3 linked regions of the Lonchura striata genome follow. The protein of the gene in region 2 purifies or fractionates together with the protein of the main gene of each other region. This does not show direct contact. Links are inferred from orthologs where the notes say so. Each region holds a gene or a part of one and is shown on either strand. Other genes may lie near its edges. The genes, in order: ATP6V1F, ATP6V1A and ATP5F1C.

What was found.
Region 1: the proteins of ATP6V1A (region 2) and ATP6V1F fractionate together in Homo sapiens (co-fractionation; 3 studies listed by BioGRID and IntAct, with this or other methods). This does not show direct contact. The link is inferred for Lonchura striata from reciprocal best matches to the Homo sapiens genes ATP6V1A and ATP6V1F.
Region 3: the proteins of ATP6V1A (region 2) and ATP5F1C fractionate together in Homo sapiens (co-fractionation; 3 studies listed by BioGRID). This does not show direct contact. The link is inferred for Lonchura striata from reciprocal best matches to the Homo sapiens genes ATP6V1A and ATP5F1C.

What each region holds. Positions count from the first base shown.
Region 1 is NC_134607.1:73,138,898-73,144,368, forward strand, and holds ATP6V1F (V-type proton ATPase subunit F), read left to right. Parts: upstream 1-3,931; 5' UTR 3,932-4,078; coding exon 4,079-4,236; intron 4,237-4,533; coding exon 4,534-4,735; 3' UTR 4,736-4,945; downstream 4,946-5,471. Other genes in the region: FLNC (filamin-C), read left to right, coding at 1-2, 397-526, 896-1,072, 1,270-1,488, 1,962-2,171, 2,498-2,685. UniProt on the Homo sapiens protein: Subunit of the V1 complex of vacuolar(H+)-ATPase (V-ATPase), a multisubunit enzyme composed of a peripheral complex (V1) that hydrolyzes ATP and a membrane integral complex (V0) that translocates protons.
Region 2 is NC_134604.1:28,288,795-28,296,696, forward strand, and holds the start of ATP6V1A (V-type proton ATPase catalytic subunit A), read left to right. Parts: upstream 1-4,883; 5' UTR 4,884-5,016; intron 5,017-7,902. UniProt on the Homo sapiens protein: Catalytic subunit of the V1 complex of vacuolar(H+)-ATPase (V-ATPase), a multisubunit enzyme composed of a peripheral complex (V1) that hydrolyzes ATP and a membrane integral complex (V0) that translocates protons.
Region 3 is NC_134607.1:68,976,420-68,984,381, forward strand, and holds the start of ATP5F1C (ATP synthase F(1) complex subunit gamma, mitochondrial), read right to left. Parts: upstream 3,085-7,962; 5' UTR 3,000-3,084; coding exon 2,956-2,999; intron 1,856-2,955; coding exon 1,821-1,855; intron 884-1,820; coding exon 752-883; intron 395-751; coding exon 190-394; intron 1-189. Other genes in the region: KIN (DNA/RNA-binding protein KIN17), read left to right, coding at 3,167-3,280, 3,823-3,917, 4,737-4,780, 4,871-4,993, 5,858-6,039, 6,930-6,978, 7,263-7,320.

The sequences.
Region 1 (5,471 bases), on a different chromosome or scaffold from region 2:
AGGTACTGGGGACAGCCCCTGTGAAACCCTGGGGCACCCCTGGGCTCACAGATGCCCCTTGGATCCCCAGATCACTCTTGGGCTGTGCTGAGCCCCAACTGCACTCTTGGGATGCCCACTGTGTGCCACCTTTGGGTCTCCTGTTGCACCCTTGGACCCTCTGAGGCCACTTCTCCCTCCCTCATGTCACCCCTAGATCACCTTTATGTCCCTCTGTGCCAGCCTTGATGTCCCTTGTATCACATTGCACCCCTGTGTCACCCTTGGTGCCCATGGTGTTCCCCCTGTCCCACTGCCCCCCGCCATGTCCCCCCATTCCCTGGAGTGAACCAGCTGGCATCATTCACAATATCCCCCTGTCCCCCCGTCCCTGATGCCACTGTGGCCTGCCCACAGGAGACAGTGGCAGTGAACCAGCCAGCATCTTTCGCGGTGCAGCTGAACGGGGCACGCGGCGTCATCGACGCCAAAGTGCACACGCCTGCAGGGGTGGTGGAGGAGTGCTACGTGTCCGAGCTGGACAGCGGTGAGGGGACACGGGGACACCACAGGGACCGTGGGGACAGCGGGTCTGCAGATGTGGGGTTGTGGGCACAGGGTACAGGACATGGGGACATGTGATGTGGGGACATGGGGCTGAGAACAGGAGGACATGGGGTATGGGGACAAAGTGACATGATGGCATCCCCCAGACTAGTACACACTGGAGTTCTTGCATGGGATGTGGAGACACAGGGATGTGGGGACATGGGACATGGGGACAGAGGACACAGAGGTATGGGGATGTGTCTTTGTCCCCCTGATATGCACTGGGGTTCCTGCTGTGCAGGAACAGGGTGTGGGGACATGGGGACACGGGGACATGGGGACACGGTGACATGTCTGTGTCCCCCAGACCGGTACGCCCTGGGGTTCCTGCCACGTGAGAACGGAGTGCACTCCATTGACCTGCGCTTCAATGGGCGCCACGTGCCCGGGAGCCCCTTCAACATCCGCGTGGGCGAGCAGAGCCAAGCCGGGGACCCTGGGCTCGTCACTGCCTTTGGGCCAGGCCTCGAGGGTGGCCGCACAGGTGACACTGCTGTGGAGACATGGACAGGGCTGTGGGAGTGGGGTGGGGAAAGAGACACAGCTGTGGTGGTGGCAGGAGAGACACGGCTGTGAAATGGTGATGGGGACAGAGCCATGATGGAGATGTGGCCATGGGTGATGACCACGACGGCATCCTGGTGTTCCCCCTATGATGCCATCCCCATGTCCATGTCCCAGGGGTGCCCTCAGAGTTCCTGGTGCAGACAGCCAATGCGGGGGCAGGAGCACTGGCTGTCACCATTGATGGCCCCTCCAAAGTGGAGCTGGACTGTACAGAGGTCCCTGAGGGCCACCGCGTCACCTACACCCCGATGGCTCCTGGCAACTACCTCATCTCCATCAAGTATGGGGGCCCCCACCACATCGTGGGGAGCCCCTTCAAGGCCAAGGTCACTGGTATGAACAGGGGGGACATGGGGATGGGAAGGGCCATGGGTATTGGGAGGGACGTGGGGATAGAGAGGAACATGGAACTAGCGGGGACATGGGAACTGAAGGGGACATGGGGACCACTGGGGCCACATCATGGGCAGCCCCTTCAGGGCCAAGGTCACTGGTACAGATGGGGTGTGGGCAGACACGGGGATGGGGGGCATGGATAAGGGAGACTGGGGGTGGAGAACATGGGGGTCCCCAGTATGAGATGACGAGGGGTCAGTGATGGGCATGACGGAGGTTTGCAGGAAGGCCACCCTATAGGACCAGGGTGACATGAGTGGGGGGTCCTGGGGGTGACATGGTGTAGGATCCCCAGGATGACATGATGGGGGTGCCAGGGGGAGGGGGGTTGTCCCTGGAAGATGCCCCCCCGCGCAGTGTGAAGGGGAGTCCCATGGTGGGGGCTGACCGTGACCCCTGGTACTCCCCAGGCCCACGGCTGTCGGGCGGACACAGTCTACACGAGACCTCGACAGTGCTGGTGGAGCCGGTGGTGAGGGCGGGCTCGCGGGGCCCCCCGGCCTTTGGGGGGCTCTCCAAGGCCCCGTCAGACGCTGGGCAAGTGGTGGCCCGGGGGCCAGGGCTGGCGGCCGCCCGCCTGGGCCACAAGAACCACTTCACCGTGGACTGCAGCAAGGCTGGTGAGGGCGCCGGGGGTCCAAGGATTGGGGTGGCTGAGGGGGGACCGGGTTGGAAGGGCAGATGGGGGCTTGGCGTGGCGGTCCAGGGGCTCCTAGGGGAGTCCTGTGGGGGCTTGGAGGAGAGGCAGTGGGTCTGCGAGGTGTTCAGGGAATTCCGGGGAGTCTTGAGAAAGGATGGGGCAGGTTAAAGGGGGGCCTGGGGGTCTTGGGAGGGGATGGGGTGGGTAAGGGGAAGAGTCTGGTGGAGGGTCTGGGGCGCAAGGGGGGAGGCTTGGGGTGACCCCGGGGTCTCACGCTTACGGTTCACCCTGCCCGCGTCCCCCCAGGTACAAACATGCTGCTGGTGGGGGTGCACGGCCCCAAGGCCCCGTGCGAGGAGGTGCACGTGAAGCACGAGGGGAACCGCGTGTACACGGTGACCTACAGTGTGCGGGAGCGCGGCGAGTACGTGCTGCTGCTGCGCTGGGGCGACCGCGACGTCCCGGGGAGCCCCTTCCGTGTCACTGCGGCCTGAGCCCCCGAGCCGGGGCAGCGGGCTGGCAATAAAGCGTTGGGAGAGGAACAATGTCCGAGTGATGGCCGGGACACTCACAGCGTGGGGCTGGAGCGAGCCAGGCTCCCGGAGCAGTCTGCTGGACACTAGCTCCAGGGCTGTCCTGAGCAAGACACCACATTTCTGGGGTGTGCAGAACAGCACAGAAGCCTTTGGGGGCGGCCCTGGGGGTCTGGGCCAGGATTGTGGGGCCCGAGGTGGGGGTCCAGAGCAGGACATCCCGGTCCTAGGGAGTGGGGGGGGATCCTGGGGGCTGCAGGATGGTATAATGAGGCCCCAGTGTGAGATGGTGGGGTCTGGAACAGAATACTGGAGATGGCCTGGGAGGGTCTGGAGCAGAATGCTGAGTCCTGAGGGGTCCAAGGGGATTCCATGGCAGAACAGCCTGGGGGTTTCAGGCGGTCCAAGGGGACTCCATGGCAGGACAGTCTGGGGATCTTGGGGGGTTCAAGGGGACTCATGGTAGGACAGCCTGGGGGTCTCGGGGGGTCCAAAGGCATTCCATGGCAGGATAGCCCGGGGGTCTTGGGGGTCCAAGGAGACTCCATGGCAGGACAGTCCAGGGGGTCTCAGGCAGTCCAAGGGGATTCCATGTTGGAACAGCCCGGGGGTCTCGGGGGTCCAAGGAGACTCCATGGCAGGACAGCCCGGGGGTCTCGGGGGGTCCAAGGAGACTCCATGGCAGGACAGCCCAGGGGGTCTCAGGCAGTCCAAGGGGATTCCATGTTGGAACAGCCCGGGGGTCTCGGGGGTCCAAGGAGACTCCATGGCAGGACAGCCCGGGGGTCTCGGGGGGTCCAAGGAGACTCCATGGCAGGACAGACCGGGGGTCTCAGGGGTTCAAGGGGACTCCATGGCAGGACAGCCCGGGGGTCTCGGGGGGTTCAAGGGGACTCCATGGCAGGACAGCCCGGGGGTCTCGGGGGTCCCTGCCAGTGTGCTCAGGGTTGCCTGCGGGGCCCGTGCCGTCTGCTAGAGGGCGCTGTGCAGGGTAGCGCAGCGTCCCCTGAAGGGCACGGCGCAGTGCGCATGCGCGCTTCGCGGGGCGGGGCCGGCGGAGGGGGTGGGGCGATGACACCGGGGGGCGGGGTCATCGGGGCGCGGCTCCTCCCACGGCGGCGGGCGGGGCCGGCGGCGTTGCCGGGCAGCGGCGGGCGGGGCGCTCCGGGGGCGGCGGCGGCGGAACCCGGAAGCGGCGGCGGGTCCCGGTCGGTCCCGGCGGGTCCCGGGCGGTCCCGGCCGGTGCCGAGCCCCACAGCCGCTCCCGGCGGCGCACCCCCAGCCCGCCGGCGCCCGGCAGCGGCTTTCCCGCGGTCCGTATCCCGGCGGATTCCGTTCCCAGCGGGCCCTGGGCATGGCGGGCCGTGGGAAGCTGATCGCGGTGATGGGCGACGAGGACACGGTGACCGGGTTTCTGCTGGGCGGCATCGGGGAGCTGGACAAGCACCGGCGGCCCAACTTCCTGGTGGTGGAGAAGGAAACCAGCCTGGCGGAGATCGAGGAGACGTTCCGGTGTGTGCGGGGAGGAAGGCGGCCCGAGGGCCCGGAGCGGGTCACTGAGGTTCGGGGTGCCGAGGGGTCCCTGGGTGGCCTTGTCCGTCCCAGTGGCTCTCTGAGGGGATCCAGGCGGGTTCTGGGCTCTGGCGGGTCACGGAGTTCCAGGAGGGGAGGCAGAGGCTGGCAGGATCGGGCCGGGGTGCCGGGAGTGTCCCGGGGTCGGGGCCCGAGGAGCCCGAGGAGCGTTCCCCCGCTGGGGCGCCCAGGGCGGTCGCTCCGTGCCCCTCACTCTCCCCTTTCTCCCCTTGGCAGGGGTTTCCTGGCGCGGGAGGACGTGGGCATGATCCTGATCTCGCAGGCGCTGGCGGAGCAGATCCGGCCGGCGGTCGCAGCCCACGCCCGGGCGCTGCCCGCGGTGCTCGAGATCCCCTCCAAGGACCACCCCTACGACCCGGCCCGGGACTCGGTGCTGCGCCGCGCCCGCGGGCTCTTCGCGCCTGACGAGCTGCGATAAAGCCCCCCGGACCCCCGGCCCTCCCCGCACTCCCCTAAATCCTCCCAGATCCCACGCTAAGCTCCCCCAGACAGTTCCCCGGTGCCTCCCGTGTGTGCAGGCCCCCGCGGCACGCCCGAACTGTCCCCTGTGCCCGTGGCCTCTCCGCACCCAGCCACGGGTGACGAGCACCCCCAGACAGCCCCCGCCACCTTCCCAGCACCCCCAAACCGTCCTCCACCGCTCCCCCGACTTCTTCATACTCGATGACTGTGGTAGCCCTCCCTGGTACCCCAAAACAGCCCCTGACACCCACGGGGTCACAAGCCAGGCCTGGGGGTCTCCACCTCAGGGAAACTCACCCAGGGGCCATTGTGCCCCATGCCTGGGGGTCCCCATCCCAAGAAATCCCCAGCCCATCCCAGGGTGCTGCTGGGGGGGTCCCTGGGTTTCCCAGGGTGTCCTTCGGGGTCTATGGTTGCTCCGTGGCTGTGAGGGTGACGCAAGGAACCTCGTGTGTCACTGAGGGTGCCTGGGGTGCCACAGGGGCCCTGAGGGTGACCCGTGACCATGTCTCAGCCGTGTCCCGTGATGGGGAAGTGCCACCACCGTATCCTGCTGAATCCTGCTGGGTCCTGCCTGTAGGCAGGGAGGGACACCAGGGTCAGGGAAAGGAACACCTCAAGGACACTGGGAGTTGTCACTGTGACCTTGTCACCATTCCCCCAGCTCCTCTCCAGCCTCCTCAGCCCCAGCA
Region 2 (7,902 bases):
ACTTTGTGGAATGTCTTAATCTGGTTATGGAATTAAACTCAAAGTGGTCAGAGTTATAAATCAGGTTAAAGTACCTATAATAAACTGAACTGATTTTTTTATAAACTCATTTAGAAGCTGTTAAGCCATTTGTAAGCTGGCATATAGGCAAGGTCTAAATTTACCGTCCATGAAAATAAATGCAGACTTTAGCTCACACTTGGACATTTCTAGGTTCAGAAAAAGCCTAAAAATAAAGTGATTTTCAAGCTCAATTACCTTTTTTGTCCTGACTCCAGTGCATATGACCATTCAGCAGTTTTCTCATAAACTTGGAACTTCCTCCCATATATGTTAAGCTTAGCACTGTGCCGAGCAAATGGAAACAATTCAGCAGCTCTGCACAAACTCTGTCATTCTAACTCAGGAGAGAAAAAACCCTCCCTGTTCTCCTCAGAAACATGATCATCTTCAGGACCTTGAAAGGTTTACTCCTTGAACCCAGGCAAAACAAGCAGAGGTATCAGAGCTTACCTTAACAACTCCCCACACTTTCAGAAACAACATAGTTATTTTTCTGTTCTATTCAGTACTCCCCAGCTGTGATGTCTCTCCTGCAAGGCAGCCAGAGCAGCACAAGCCTGCAAAGTCTCAGGGTTAGGAGGCAGCAAGTACCTGTTGTGTAGAATACAGCCTGTAGGACTCTTCCACAGCAAGTCATAAGGACCCTTAGAAACTACAAAACCTGAGACTTAGCTGCAAACACGACAAAGTTGAGAGGCAATCTCCTAGGAGAGTCCTACCCAATTTAGTGCACACTTCTTTCTAAGGCTGGTTTAACACACAGCGCTCTACTTAGTCCCTGCTTCAATCAGTTCTCCACCCCATGGCTCAAGATGTGCTGCTGCATGACAATCTCCCAGGTGTTTCATATCAAAACTGGAGATGTTAATGTGACAAAACAGCACATGCACAGGAGCCCAGGCACTGGGCCCTGCTTGTAACATGCCCTACCGGCTCCATGTATGTGACAATCCTGGTCACACCGCAGGTACATGCACGCAATGGAGCATGCAGGTCCTGCAATAGCCTTGTGTAATGTGATTTTTAGGTAAGGCCATCAGGGAAAGGCTGGATACCTTACTTTCATAGGTTTCATCTGAACTAAAACAAATTAGAAATGCACCCTTACTTTTAAGACAGCAAATGTCATGAACAGCAATCGGCAAATGCTCAAGAATCAGTGCAAGACTTTGAGTTTTCTCTCCTGAAAACCAGTAGCATAACAACTGGTAATGAAAACACAAAACCACTGAGCAACAAGTGAATCAACACCATGAATACAACAAAGTGCAGGGAGGATTATTTACATCTGCTATATAAAAACAGCCAGATTACTACAGACAGTGGAACCCGAGTCTCTTCCACTGGTATTTTTCCTCATGCAAACACAGTTCTAAAATAGATTTTCAAATTCAAGAACTAACAACAATAACATATAATAAATTAAAAAATAAATTAATCTCTACAGAATCACAAGATTCACTAACAGAACAGTGAATTACCTCAGTTTTTCAAGTCACATTTAAGAAAAAAAGGGAAACATAATGAGACTCTATTAAAATTATTCAGAAGGTGAGGATAGAGTGAACATAAAGCCAAGTCTCACAAAACCAGGTGAAAGCTAATAGCAGTTCCCAGTTGAGAAGATGGTGTTTAACTCATCAAATAAGAGAAAATCCACAAAATTGTAAGCAGCTGAGAAATCACAAAAATCTTCTGCTATTTCTGAAACCAGAGGGCCAGGGTAGAAGAGGTCACCTAACCTGAAATACCCTGATGACACAGACCCTACAACCTGCTATGCACTATTAACACACATCTATGTGCTATTTTGAATTCAGAGAGCTAAGAAAGAAGGCTGCAAGACACATACATTGACTACAGGGTCTTTCAGATCTGAAATTTCATGCCAATGAATCAGATAGTTTCTTTTTTTAATTCTTTGCCAAAGTAGACTCTTCATAATGACAGCTGATAAAACATCAGCTGCTCTAAGTGCTTCCAAAATCACCTCTGCATTTGGTGGTGTGGGTAACAATGCAGTGCATATATTCCCAGAAAAAACAGTCACAGGGCATCAGTTTGTTCAGAGGGACTTGTCCACAATTTTGGATTCAGTACTGAAGACAGACCAGATCCCTTCAAGCACATCAGTTTCTATATGCTGGGAGCTGGAGCTTTAGATCTATTTTTGGACCCATCCTTTGACAGTACTTGTACTTTAGGGATCTTCACCGATCCTTGTAACTTAAAAAACAATTTAGATCTTTTCCAAAGTACCCCTGTGTAATTTATACATTCCTTTTGAACTATTCTCTACTTCTTTGATTCTCATTGTATTTAAATGGGGATATTTTTCAATCTGAGCTCTGTCGGCATATTTGCCTCCATCTGAATTTTTAGAGAACACCTGGATTCAATATGAGGATCTGCACAGGAATATGAATTTATTCTGCACCAGAACTTTCTGTGTGGTGCTAACAGTGTTTTGGCAAGACAGGAATATGCTGTTCTTCAAAGAGATGAAAGAGTACCATAAGCAGAAATACCAAGTACAGAACCCAAAGCAATAAGCCCTAAAGTTGAACCAGAAACAAAGCTGTCTGTAAGTAAAAGTAAAGTGACAGAAATAAAGTTGGGTGCTCTGGAAGCAGAAGAGTGGTATGCAGGTTTTTTCTCCATAGCCTTTTATTTAAAAAAAAAAAAAAAAAAGTTACAAGAAGTAAAAAAGTCCATGAAATGAGAACTCCTGATCAGTGCAAGCAAAACCAGGCTCAGTTCCTCAGGGAGCACTGAGCACGACAGACAGCTCCAGCCATGCCCTGCTAGGAGATCCCCACAGCACCAGCCTGGCACGCCTGGGCCGCTTTCCCACTCACACATCCAGGTCCCAGTAACCCCATCCCATCACTGACACACGAGCAAAGCAAGGCTAAGCTGTTAGCAAACAGCAGAACGGTCAACAAAGGATAAAAGGAAACCCAGTTCTGTCGGGAGCGCTGCTGAACAACGATCGCATCAACTGCCACCTCATCCTGGCTGATCCGTGCTGCTGCTCTTCCCGCAAACTCCGGCGTCCTCATTACAAGGGGACTAAGAGTGGGGGTGTCCCTTTTTATGTAGGGTGGTGCAGGTGGATAAAGGTTTGTCCAATATCCCAAACACACCTATCTTATGTCAGCTGAGAGTTTGTTTATTTGCAGTCATCCCTGAACCTCTTTCTACAGACACCTGCCAGCCCCTCAGGATGCCTGAAGCTGCTTACACGCTGTAAAAACCAGCCAAGAGTCTGTTATCAAGCAGACTTGTATGACCTCACCCCTACTGCTAATAAGCTAAACCCCTTACCATTTCTTAGTAAAAGCTTAAGTGATTCAGCTTCCATTCACCCTGCCTTAAGCTGCCAAACTGGAATAATAATACCCATCATTGCATAACACCAGTTCCAAGGGGACGGTTTAATGCTCTTTTGAGAATCAGCTGAGGACAGCTTCCTTTGTGCCTGTGAAGAAACTGAGGCACAGAACTGGAACAAGCACGTTTTGTGGTGCACAAATGATGCTGAAATTAATAAACATTAGGTGGCTTAGCCAACATTGAAAAACCTGTCCCAAAGTGACCTGGACAAGGTCAGGCAGGTCATCTGACACCAAAGCACAACTGTGAGTGTAAAGGCCTCCGGTCTCCTGTACAGAAACGGCACCTCACTGCCCCCACTGAGAAGGAAATCAGTATTTTCAGCCACCCAGATTTGAAATCTCTAGTTTTCAGGAGACAGAAAGAAGCGATGCCAGACCCAAAGCAGCGGGTGTGCTACAGGAACATGACACAGGACACAGCTCGTTTGTCATCCATCTACGCTCTACAACCTCCACGCAGCAATTCAAGACTTAAAAAACCAACAAAAGTGCTAAGAGGATGTTACACACAATAGCGCTGCAAAACCACACACACCCGAGGCTGTCAGCTTTTTCGCACACAGTGAGCGGCGCTTCTTTGCTACCGCCAGACAAGGAGCAGCCAGGGAGGACAGCCCGGCCAGCATCCCCGCCCGCTCTGCAGATCCCAGACCCCGCAGGGCGGGATCCCCCCGAGCACGAGGAGCCGCCGCGTCCCGCCCGCTCCAGCGCGGGCTCAGCGCGGAGAATCCTCGCTCCGGCGGCGGCACCATCCTGACGGGCGGCTCCTGCTCAGCCCAAAGGGCGCCAGCGGCGACACCGCCGCCTTTTCTCCCCGGAGGGACGCCGGGCCACGGGCCCTGTCCCAGAGGGCGGGAGGGACGCAGCAACACCCCCCCGAGCTCCGAGGCGGCTGCACCGCTCGGCCCTCTCCGCCCGCCGCGCCGCCCGGGCCCGCCCCGCTCCCAGCTCCCCTCCCGGGCGGGCCCGGCCCGGGCCGAGCCCCGCACTCACCCCTTCATGGTGCGTCCGCGGCCTGCCCGGCGTCCGCGCTGGCTGCGTCCAGGGCCCGGCGGTGCGGGTGTGGCTCCGGCCTCCCCGTGCTCAGCGCGGGCAGCTCAGTCTCCTCCCGATCCCAATCCCGCTCCCGCTCCACATGGGCCTCCTCCCGCCCCGCCCCGCCCCGTGACCCCTCACCTCACGCCGCGCGCGCGTCCCCGCCCCGCCCGCCATGACCGCCCCGCCCCTCCCGCGCGCCCCCGCCGCGCACGCGCCGCGCCCGGCGGGGCGGGGAGAGGATGGGGAGGCCCCGCTCGTCTCGGGGACGGGGCGTGCTCGCTGTCACGTGACACGGAACCACCAATCGGCGCGCCCCACCGCGCCCGGCGCGCTCCTGCGCGGCAGCGGCCCCGGCAGGGCGGGCGAAGCTCCGCCCGGAGTCGGGCAGGGCTCGCGCCCGGCGCTTCCGGTGTGCGGCGCAGCGCATGCGCGCGGGGCCCGGCGTCAGCTGATCCAGCGCCTCCTTTGCCGCCGGCGGAGGGACTCGGGCGGATTCGGGCGCGCCGGGCCGGCCCAGGTGAGACGCCCGACCCCTCTCCCCCTGCCTCGCACCGCTGCCTCCGCCGCTCCCGAGCTGCGCCCGGGGCTGCCCTTCTCTGCGGTAAAGGAGCGGGGGGTCGGCTGTCGCCGCTCTCCGCCCCGCTCGCACCCTGCCCGGGAAGGACGCGGTCTCCCTGCGGAGCCGCTCGCAGGGGGAGCGCGGCCCCGGCGCTGCGGAGCGGCGGGAGCCGGGAGGGGGGCGGCCGGGCCGCAGGGAGCCGTGTCCCGGCGGCACGGCCCGCAGGGAGCCGGCCGTGCGCTTCCCGGCCCCGCTTCGCAGGGAGCGCAGAGCTGCAGAGCGAGGCAGCCCCTCAAGGAAAAACCGTCCGAGCGCTCGATCGAAGACACCCAGTGAGATGCTTTAGGGTTATGCCAGAATCCCTTACCGAAAAGAGACAGGGCGATAGCGGCTGGGTTCCAGCGCCAGGTCATCCCACCATCTTGAGTGGGTGGATCTGAATCTTTCGGTGCCTTGACCGCAGCGCAGCAGAGAGAGAGCAGCGCGGTTATGGAAGAGGAATTCCGCTGCGGGCTTCTCCCTGCAGCCATCCGTGGCAGAAGAACCCCCCTGTTGTTGCTTTGCAGTTGAATATCTTGGTGGCACATCAGATGTGCTTCCTATTCCTGTAGCCAGTGACAAAATTTTGCCTCAGATGAGGTGTTTCAGACATCACCCTTGGCATTCACTTAAAGGCAAGAGAAAAATCTTACACAGCTGGATTCTGGATGATATTGTTCATGTGACAGGTAGCTGTCACATTGGAGTATGTGACACTTGTGTCAGGATCCATCCATTCCGTGCAGCTGCCCAAAGTAATTTACTTTCTTAGGAGAAAGTGAAGTCTTCCTTCCTGAAATTTTACTGTCTTTTCTCATAGAATTTGCTCTTCTGCTGGGCATAAAAGCAATTTGGTGATCATTTTATTCATTGTAATGCAATACTTCAGCAAAGTACACTGGCTATTTGATCTAGCACGGTATTTTAAATGCTAATTCTGCTTGCTGAAGTGGAGAGGGGGTGGAAAAATAGGAAAACCTGCTGATAGACTGCTAGAAGTGATTTATTAGGAAGAACATGCGAAATACAAGCTGGCATTTGCAAGTGGAAGTTTGAGTAACTGAGGCAGATCTTCACTATGTTGTAAGTTGTGCTGTATTTATACTGACTTCTGCACTGTGCAGATCTGCAGCAGCTGAATGTTTGGCTTCTCTGTGCTTTCAAGGCCTTTTCAATGACCAGCAAATATAAACATGTAACAATATCTACGTTTTATTATTTTCTATGTAAGAATATGTGAAGTGAGATCAGAATCTACAGGTCTTTGAATTACCAAAAGTACTGCAGATTATTTTTGCTGTGCCTGTCAGTCTGTAATGCAAAATCCTCTGGAAAAGCTTTATTCTTTCATGTGGGGAAAAAATTAGTCTTAATTTTATGATCAGGTGGCAAAGTCTGACATTGAGAAGTACTAAATCACCATGGACATCAGCTTGAGAGAACAGGGAAGGACAAATTAAGGCAACAGTGGAAAATGGCTGCTGGCATCAGCTGACTGTTCAAAGGGGGGTTGCAGTCTTGTGTTGCAATAGTAACACAAGATCTCTGTTTCCCGTAAATACTGCCTTGTGGTTTTCCAAATCAAGAATTATTTTCTACAGGTAGTGCTAATAGGGTTGAGCCATGAGTGGTTAGTGTAGCTTCATTTTTATAGAGCATTAGCTTAAATTTAGCTTTTGTTTTGGTCTAAGTGTGTATTAACAGTTTTATGCCTCATTTGCCCTCATTTATGAAGGCTGTGGGCCTTAAGTGTCCTTCTGTTATCTAAATTTTTTTCCCAGGATGACTTCATGCATTTATCTCCCAGACTTGCATGGTGCTGGTGTTACACATTGTCATCCAAAGCTCCTATAGACCAGCAGGTTACCAGATGATTCCCCTGAAGATCCTTTTAGAGGCACTGTGCATTCCCCCTTGTGATTTCATGCCATAATGGTTGTCTTTGGGTTCTCAAGCCCTGAAAGTTCCTACTGATGGGTTTCCCTCTTGCTTTGAAATTGCATGTTTATGAGCTATGGCTGCATTCCTAATTACTCTTTTAGAAAGAGTAAAAGGATTGCAAGATAATCTCGTTGAGCTCTTTGGTTACTTTAATGTTGACCATAAAATGTTGAATGCTACGTCTGAGCAAGTAGTAATACCTCTGTTTTTTTCTCTTTTTAAGAAAACCCTACAAAATGCAAACCATGCAGCAACCCAATGCTACATTGCCTGAAATATATTCTTTTCTCCATGCTTGTTTTGTAGGTTAAAAAATAGGGGATTTCAGACTTGGAAATACTGAGGCATTGTTGAACAATGGTATCCGTATGATTTTTTTTTTTTAGGCTGGAATTTGGCCAATGAAAACAGACCATGCAGTCAACTGGAATATCATGCTCATTCATTTTTACTGAACATCTTAAAACATGTGACTTCTTTAGCCTTCCAGCTGGGCAGAGAGAAACAGGGTCCTACTCCAGCCGAAGAAGCAGAATGAATTTAAACTTTTCAGCCTTTTTTTTTTCCTACAGAATAAGCCAATAATCACCTAAATCTCCAACATGCAAAACTGGTTTTGACTGGATCTTCTGTTTGTCATTGTTGTATCTTTTATGGTATAAAAAGCTTTTTGCTTGTCTTTGATGCTCTCTCTCCACTTTTCCCTTTGTGAGTGGACAGCTAAGCTTATACCAAATTCTTGGGTTTGGTCATCTCTCATGGCATTAAGTTCTGCACTTATAAATATTTTTTGGTTGGTTACTTTATTTCATCCAAGCATTTATTTCTTCTGTGTCTGTCAAGCTCTCAAGTTCAACACTCCCA
Region 3 (7,962 bases), on a different chromosome or scaffold from region 2:
GTCTCTCAAATTGTGACATTATCAAAACCACTTTTAAAGTATTTGCAGTTTTTTTTTTACAGGAACTTGAATTTAACACAGTTCCCTTAAATGCAATTTCCTGCCAATGGCACACAATCCTACAGTCTTGAAATTTCTACCAGAGACAACAAAACTCTAAACTAAACTTTTGGACCCCATCCTTTTTACCTTTGAAGCAGGCCTCTGATCTTGTCACCTACTCCAACCACCATAACCTCCTTCCCTGCATTTGAGAGGTTGGTAATTTCATTCTTCAAGGTTTTAGCAATAGATGTATGGATAGCACCACACAGGCCTCGGTCAGAGGACACACCAATAAGGAGGTGCTTCTTCTTGTCCTCAGGTGGCTTTATTTCTGCTTTCTCATACAGAGCTGAAAAAAAAAAAAAGATCATAACATTTTTCAAGGGTGCCAAAAAAGCTAGTAAGTAATAAAAAATGCTCTGAAATATTCTAACTAAAACCAATACCAAAGGGGCTCCAGATCTCAGCCAGATTAATTTTATCTCCTTTGCAATTGTTCCAAGTTTGCACACGGTCAGACCAGAAGTGAGGAATAAACAATTCAGAGCCAGTCACAGCTCTGATCAGATGTCACTCAGTGAAGTTCACTGTGCAAATTCTTTTGGAAACAGACTACTGGAAGGTTAAAAAGCCTTGGCATTTTATCACCACTATGAAAACCTCCTCTTCTAATCCCCCATCACTAAGTGCAAGATCTTTCTCTCACACAGAGCTCCTGTTCCATAGACCCTCGCAGGCTTCAGCTCCCTCTCAGCTCTTGCGTATTTGGCTGCAGAAACCATCTTCATGGACTTGGTGATCTTCTGGATGTTCTTGATGGACTTCAAACGCCTGGTGACTGCAAGGTTAAGAGTTGAAGGTCATGGGCTGTACTGGGCACTGTGACTCAAGCCCAAACAACAAAATGCCAGCAAGAGCCATAAAAAAATATTTTGCCATGTTCCTCAAAGAAGAAGAAATAAATAAACAAACATCACAGAAATAAACCTCATGAAAGACCTTGGTACTTGCAGTAAGACTAAGAATGTAGCTAACACAGATTCATCTTTACAATAGAGATGTTATCTCCTTCAGATATAACATTCATTTAGTATTTATCCCAACATGAAGTCTATTTACTATTCTCTTTGCTTCCACCTCTACCTGTTTCACAAATATATTATTTGAGGTATAATGTCATCTTTCACAGATGACAAGCAGAGGAAACAAACAAACAAAAAAGTCCCCATAGTGTGAAGACAGAATAAATTTCCTCCTCTGTTTAGACTGTGGTAAAATGACATTTATAAAAACACTAATGCAAAAAATAACCAAAACAGGTATCCCATTGACAAGCACAATTCCAAGGCAATATCCCTATATAAGAACTATGAGGGATGGCTTAAGGAAGCATTATCACACTGAAACCATTCAGTCAATCCTTTTTCCCCCCAAATGCTGCACAAAAGCACAAGGAAATAAACATAAGATAAACTAAGTTAACTCTTATAGGTGAGCAGAAATCTGGTTTAGCACATACAGTAAAAATATTTTTAAAATCTATTTGAGTAAAACTATAAAAAGACATTTAAATTACTGCCAAAGCCACTTCAAGCAACTCCTTTTCTGAAGGACACTTGTTTAATGTGATTAGCACTGCAGGCCTATATATCATTGTTATACATCACAATCATACCCAACAGAGGCTAAACAGTATGCTTTAACATATGGTTTTCAACATATGGCTTTCCTGCAACATTTTGCCTCTCTCAAGAGCAGTTAAACCCTTTACTTACTGTCTTTTAGCGTTGCCATATTCCTGACTTGGCCCCTGAAAAGGAATGCAGGAGAAATTAGGATAATTCACTAGCTCTCCAGCAAACCAACACCTGCCAAGGGCAAGTCCCTTTCAGGGTGATGTTGCTGTTTCTTACAAAACGTGTGGCAGAGAGAAGCCACTCTTACCTGTGGCTTGCATGCACACCTTCATCCTTCCCTACCTTATATAATTTCACAGAATCAATTAGGTTGGAAAAGACCTCTGAGACCATCAAGTCCAACCTATGACTGAACACCACCTTATCTAAGTGGTGCCCTAACTAAGCCACGGGCACTGAGTGCTACATCCAGTCTTTCTGCAGATACCTCCAGGGACAGGGACTCCACAACCTCCCTGGGCAGCTCATTCCAATGCCTAACCACGACTTCTGTGAAGAAACTGTGAAGAAACAACCTAAACCTGTGTTGTCATGTCGCTGAGAGGAGGCCAACTCCCACCTGACTGCGCTGCGCTGTCAGGGAGCTGTAGAGTGATAAGGTCACCCCGAGCCTCCTTTTCTCCAGGCTGAGCTCTTCCAGCTGCTCTTCAGAGGACTTGGGCTCCAGACCCTTCCCAGTTCCCCTTCTCCGGACTCGCCCCTGCACCTCCGAGTCCTCCCTGAGCTGAGGGGCCCCGAAGCGGCCCCAGGACTCGGCAGCGCCGAGCACAGAGAAAGGTTTAACGCCTCGGCTAAGGGCACGGGGCAAACGAGGGCATTAGAAGGGCAAATTAGAAAGAAATATTTTTAAACAAAGCTTCGTGCAATGCAATTCATTTCTAAAGGCTATTAAAACGAAGCAGAGGAGGCCAGAGCAGGGTCTCCTGCCATGTATAAACTTGTCCCTTTAACCCTTGCCTGTCCCATTCTCCCACCCACCGAGGACGGAGCCTCCCTCCCTGCGGGTCCCCGCTGCCCTCATCTCCCGGCACCGGCTCCGCCACCTCCCCTCAGAGCCCACAGCCCCTGACGGGCCGCCCGCGGCCGCGACCCCGCCGCCCCCAGGCGCCGCACGGCCAAGGGAAGCCATCCCCCCCTCACCCCGCAGAGCCGCCCCGGCCATCGGGACGCGTTCCCCCGTGCCCAGAGCGCCCGTCCCAGCCCGTGCCGGTACCATTGCGGCTGGACCAGCGCGACCGCGCCGCCCCGGGCGAACATGGCGGCGCCTCCACCACAGCCCCGCTGAAGGTCAGCGCGCCCGCAGCGCGCCTGCGCGGCCCCGCCGGGATCCGCTTCCAGGGCGCCGCCGCCATTTCCGGAGGGGGCGGGAGCCGGACCGGGACCGGGACCGGGAACAGAACCAGGACCAGGACCTGACCGGCGTCATGGGGAAGTCGGATTTCCTCAGCCCCAAGGCCATCGCCAACCGCATCAAGTCGAAGGGGCTGCAGAAGCTGCGCTGGTACTGCCAGATGTGCCAGAAACAGTGCCGTGATGAGGTAACTGCGGGCGCTGGGGGGGTCCCCGCTCCTTCGGGCGGCTCCGGTCCCCGTCTAAGGAAGGAGTCCCGGTTCTCCTGGGGTCAGCTCTTGTGGCAGCTCCGATCTCATGGAATGGCTTGGTTTGGGAGGACCTTAAAGCTCATCCACTTCCAACCCCCTGCCATGTGCAGGGACACCTTCCGCTGTCCCAGGATGCTCCAAGCCCTGTCCAGCCTGGCCTTGGACACTTCCAGGGATGAAGCAGCCACAGCTGCCCTGGGCACCCTGTGCCAGGGCCTCGCCACCCTCCGAGGGAAGAATTTCTTCCCAATATCCCATCTAGCCCTGCCCCCTATCAGTCTGAAGCCCTTGTCCCTCGTTCTGTCAATCTCCCTTGTAAATGTCCCCAGTGCTATCGAGGGGAACATTGTGGGAGCTGCGATCATACTTGTAGGAGTTTATTTGTAGTAGTTTATTTGTAGGATTTTTAGTAATCTCTTCATCTGTGAGTGTTGCAAAATGAGACGAAGACAAGCCAAGTATTTATTTCTGCTTTATAGAATGGCTTCAAATGTCACTGCATGTCTGAGTCTCACCAGAGGCAGTTGCTGCTGGCTTCTGAAAATCCTCAGCAATTCATGGATTATTTCTCTGAGTAAGTTTTCTGTATATTCTTACCCAGATCTTCATGCCTGTGTCAGGTTTGCACAGCCATACCCCTAAGATCCAATAATGCCCCATTGAAGACACTTTATTGTGATACATGTTAGTGTCAGGTCTTCTTGTAATTGAAAATTACAATGCCACGTTTAAACTTTAGATAAGAGATTTCATGATTTTATTCAGTTTTGTCTCATGTTGTAATCCTGTTTAAAGTTGCTCTGTGTTAAAAATACATCACTTTTCTGTCCCTGCTGAATGACTGCCACACACACACAAGCTAAAAGAGCCATAACAATGAAAGAGCAAGTCAGGGGAGGGACTGATATGCCCCAGCTTCTCCCAGGCCTTTGTCCAGCTGACTTACGTGACAGCTGGGATGACTGGAACTGTCCTCAGCACGAGTTTGAAGTGAGGTTTTATGCTGCAGCCCTGGGGAATTAGCAGGGAGATGAGTGATCCATCTGCTCCATCCACTCCTCTGCCCTTTGTCCTGCCCTCTGCTCTGTGTCTGTCAGCCTGGGAAGACACCTGGTAACCAAACACCAGCAATTAGTGGGAAGTGTTGAGATTCCTTTGCTCCATTTTATGCCTTTGAGAGGCTGTTACTGTCTTGTACATTTGAGGTGTGTGCATGTATCATATTGTGTTTCATCCTGTGTTTGATCCTGGTCTGCTGCAAAAGGGAAATGTGTCTGAATATTGTCACACTCAGCTCAAAAGAGTAATGAGATGTTTAATTCTTAATGACAGCAGAAAATTGCTTCTTAGTTGTTAAAGCTTACTAAAGATATTTTTTTTTTTATTTCCTTAGGGAATTCCGAAATGATTTCCTAGAATTGCTCAGAAGGCGATTTGGTAAATATTTTGCTGTTTTTTTGTTTTTCTTAGTGTCTTTTGTTGGTTCAGTGCAAGCTACATAATAGTAATAATAATTCTGTATTTTAGGAACAAAGAGAGTCCACAATAATATTGTGTACAATGAATACATCAGCCATCGAGAACACATCCACATGAATGCCACACAGTGGGAGACACTGACTGATTTTACAAAATGGCTGGGGAGAGAAGGTAGGTGTACCTGCTCAGGGAAGTCTTAAAATTATTGGGTAATTGAATTCTTGGTAATTGATCAGTAAATATGTTAGTTCTTTTTTCTTTCTTCCCCTCTCCTCCTGTATATACAAGAAAAGATTTCCAAACATATTTCTGTGCTAACCATTAGGAGTTTGCTTGTGGAAAATGTGAGACGTCTGGGATGAGTACATCACTTGTGAGCTTTTCTTGCTTTCATCTGCTGGTCTGTATTTACTGGATACACTGCTAAATTCTGAATCAACTGCTAACAGTTGCCATTTAAAAATTACAGATTATTTCCATGTCTGAGGTGACAAGAAGCAAGCAGTCACTTTAATTCCTGGCCTAGTGGAAGGGTTAGAGCTGGAGATCTGCAGTTCTGTGTTTAGTGGGAGGAAGAGAGATTTAATGGCACTGTGGTGTGACAGAAAGTTTACTTTGGCTCTGGATGCCCTTGCTCTTCAGGATACATCCAGCAGTTGCAGAGTTTGGAAAGTCTCTTGCCAGAGTTGGTAACAATAGCACAGTACTGCAATATTTCCTTTAGTATGGTACTGTGAGTGCATATCATTTATACATGCTAGATTTCTGTCTTCTTCCTTGTTAAAACAGTGGGAAGGAAACATTTTCTTCAATAAGGAAAGTCTTGTAAAACACTTCATGCCCTTTGTGATGTACACTGGCCTGTGTCCAAACACATCTGGGTAGCTGAGGGCAGAAACACGTGGTACAGATAATTCAAAGTCAGTTTTAGCAGCCCACTTGTCTCTGGTGAAGTATCTGCATTGCTACAGTGAACATGGACTAAAAATGATCTTGATATTGTTAATTTTACTTTGTTTTTGCTTGACCTTTTAGGTCTTTGCAAGGTTGATGAGACTCCTAAAGGCTGGTACATTCAGTACATTGACAGGGACCCAGAGACCATTCGCAGGCAGCAAGAACAAGAGAGGAAGAAGAAACAGGACCTTGATGACGAGGAAAAAACTGCTAAATTCATTGAGCAACAAGTTAGAAGAGGTTTGGAGGGGAAAGAACTGGTGAGAAAAATTGCACTCTGTGTGAACCTTCAGCTCAAAGCTCTTGTGGTTAAGTCAGTGGGGAGTTTGATGCTCCTGGAAGCCTTGCACTGGTATTTCCTTTGCTTCCTAACTTGGATTACATTGTACCCAGCTTGCAGTAGTAGTAAAGAAGAAATAATTACTGCTCTTCTAGTGATTAGTGATTTAAAAATCACTCTAGAATTTACAAAGCAGGAGCAAATAATCCATTAAGCTGCATGATGTCTTAATTTGTGGTATTTCACAGCTATGTAGGGCTGCAGATAACAAGTACCTGGTGCATTGAGGAGGCTGAGATAAATAACCAGGGGGATCTGGCATAATCAAGTTCACCTAGTGAAAAGTTCTATTTTGGTGGTTATTTGGGATCTGTTTACTTGGCATCATGCTATGACCCCCATACGCGTTGCCTGGGGCTGAAATCTCCCATTTGATCCTGGGTATTGATAGTTACATTTAAATGCTGTTGTAAGCAATTACCTGCTTCTTAATTTAAAATTAATTGAAATTTAAATGGTCTGAGTCTTCGGTGCCAAAAAATTGGAAAGATACCAGAATTTCCTTATTTGAATTATTAGTCTTTCCAGAAACCAGTCAGATCATGCTGGTTCAGATAGAGGAAACTGATGCATCAAGGCTACTTGCCTTTTATGCTGAAATTGAGCGAGTTTAGGCAGCATCTCTATTAATTGGAGAGTTGCACAGGAGCCTGTAGTGAGATGATGTTTTCAATTTTAATCTTTTACAAATCAGGCCAGGTTGAATATTACAGTTACTGTCTGTAAAACTGAGCTGATCAATGATTATGATACCTTGACTCAGTTTTCTGTTTGATTTTTTAAATGTGCTTGGTTTTTTTTATTTGGCAGGAAATGCCAGTCTATACTGAACTGAATAGAGAAAACGAAGAAGAAAAAGGTAACTAGATTTTGATGGATGTAATTTTTGTGATTCAGATGAAATGAGCATTGAAGCCTGCTTGGTACTTTGAGATCAGTTATAAAGAGCATTGGAATGTGGAAATGCAGAGTATTCTGTATTACAAAGTTTAATTGACTTTAAAAGCTAAACCAAAGTATAGATTAGTAAATATTTTCAAATTTATGATTCCTTTCTATTTGCAGATTTTAAAAATTGTTAACATCCTTCAATGCAGTTATTTTAAAATATAGAAATAGAGTAATGTCTCTTTATTTTTTTAGTTACATTTAATTTAAACAAAGGAGCAAGTACTTCAGTCGCAGCATCTTCTAAAACAAGGTGAGAAAAGAATTTCAGGCCAACCTTTACTGTTACAAAGCACTTCTATGACAATGGTATTTGTATGAACAGGAAGGATTGTCTTGTCCTGATATATTTGGAGTCTAACCTCTCATCCTCTCTTGGTGTTCAGAAGGGTGACTAGGTGACTTCATGGTTGGTTTTGTATTTAAAATGGGTGAGTGGGTGTAGCTTAAATGTGAGCTGTGAGGAGCCTTCTTGAATTCTCTGTGCTTCATGGCAGATGTCCATACAGTAACAGGCAGTCACAGGTTCCTCCATGGAGGGTGGGAAAGGGATCCAGCCAAGCTTTTGCAGTGATGCCATCTAGTCCCAGCTGCCTTCTATGAATAGATATTCCTGACTTGTTAATTTTAGTTCCTAAAAGGTTTGATTGCCTTGTCTAATTGGAGGCAATGCTTTCTTTGGTCATCGTTTAAGCAGCTAAATCTACCTGAAATAAATCTTCCCAGAGCTCTGGAATTTAATTGTCATCTTGTGACCACAAGCAGTGCAGGACAAAAGGGATCAATAATGCAAATAATTCTGAATTACAGCAGTCTGGGGAACTGTTTGTTGAACAGTACATCTTCTCATGTGAGGCAATATTGTAATTAAATGTATTCCAGGTAAAAAGAAAGC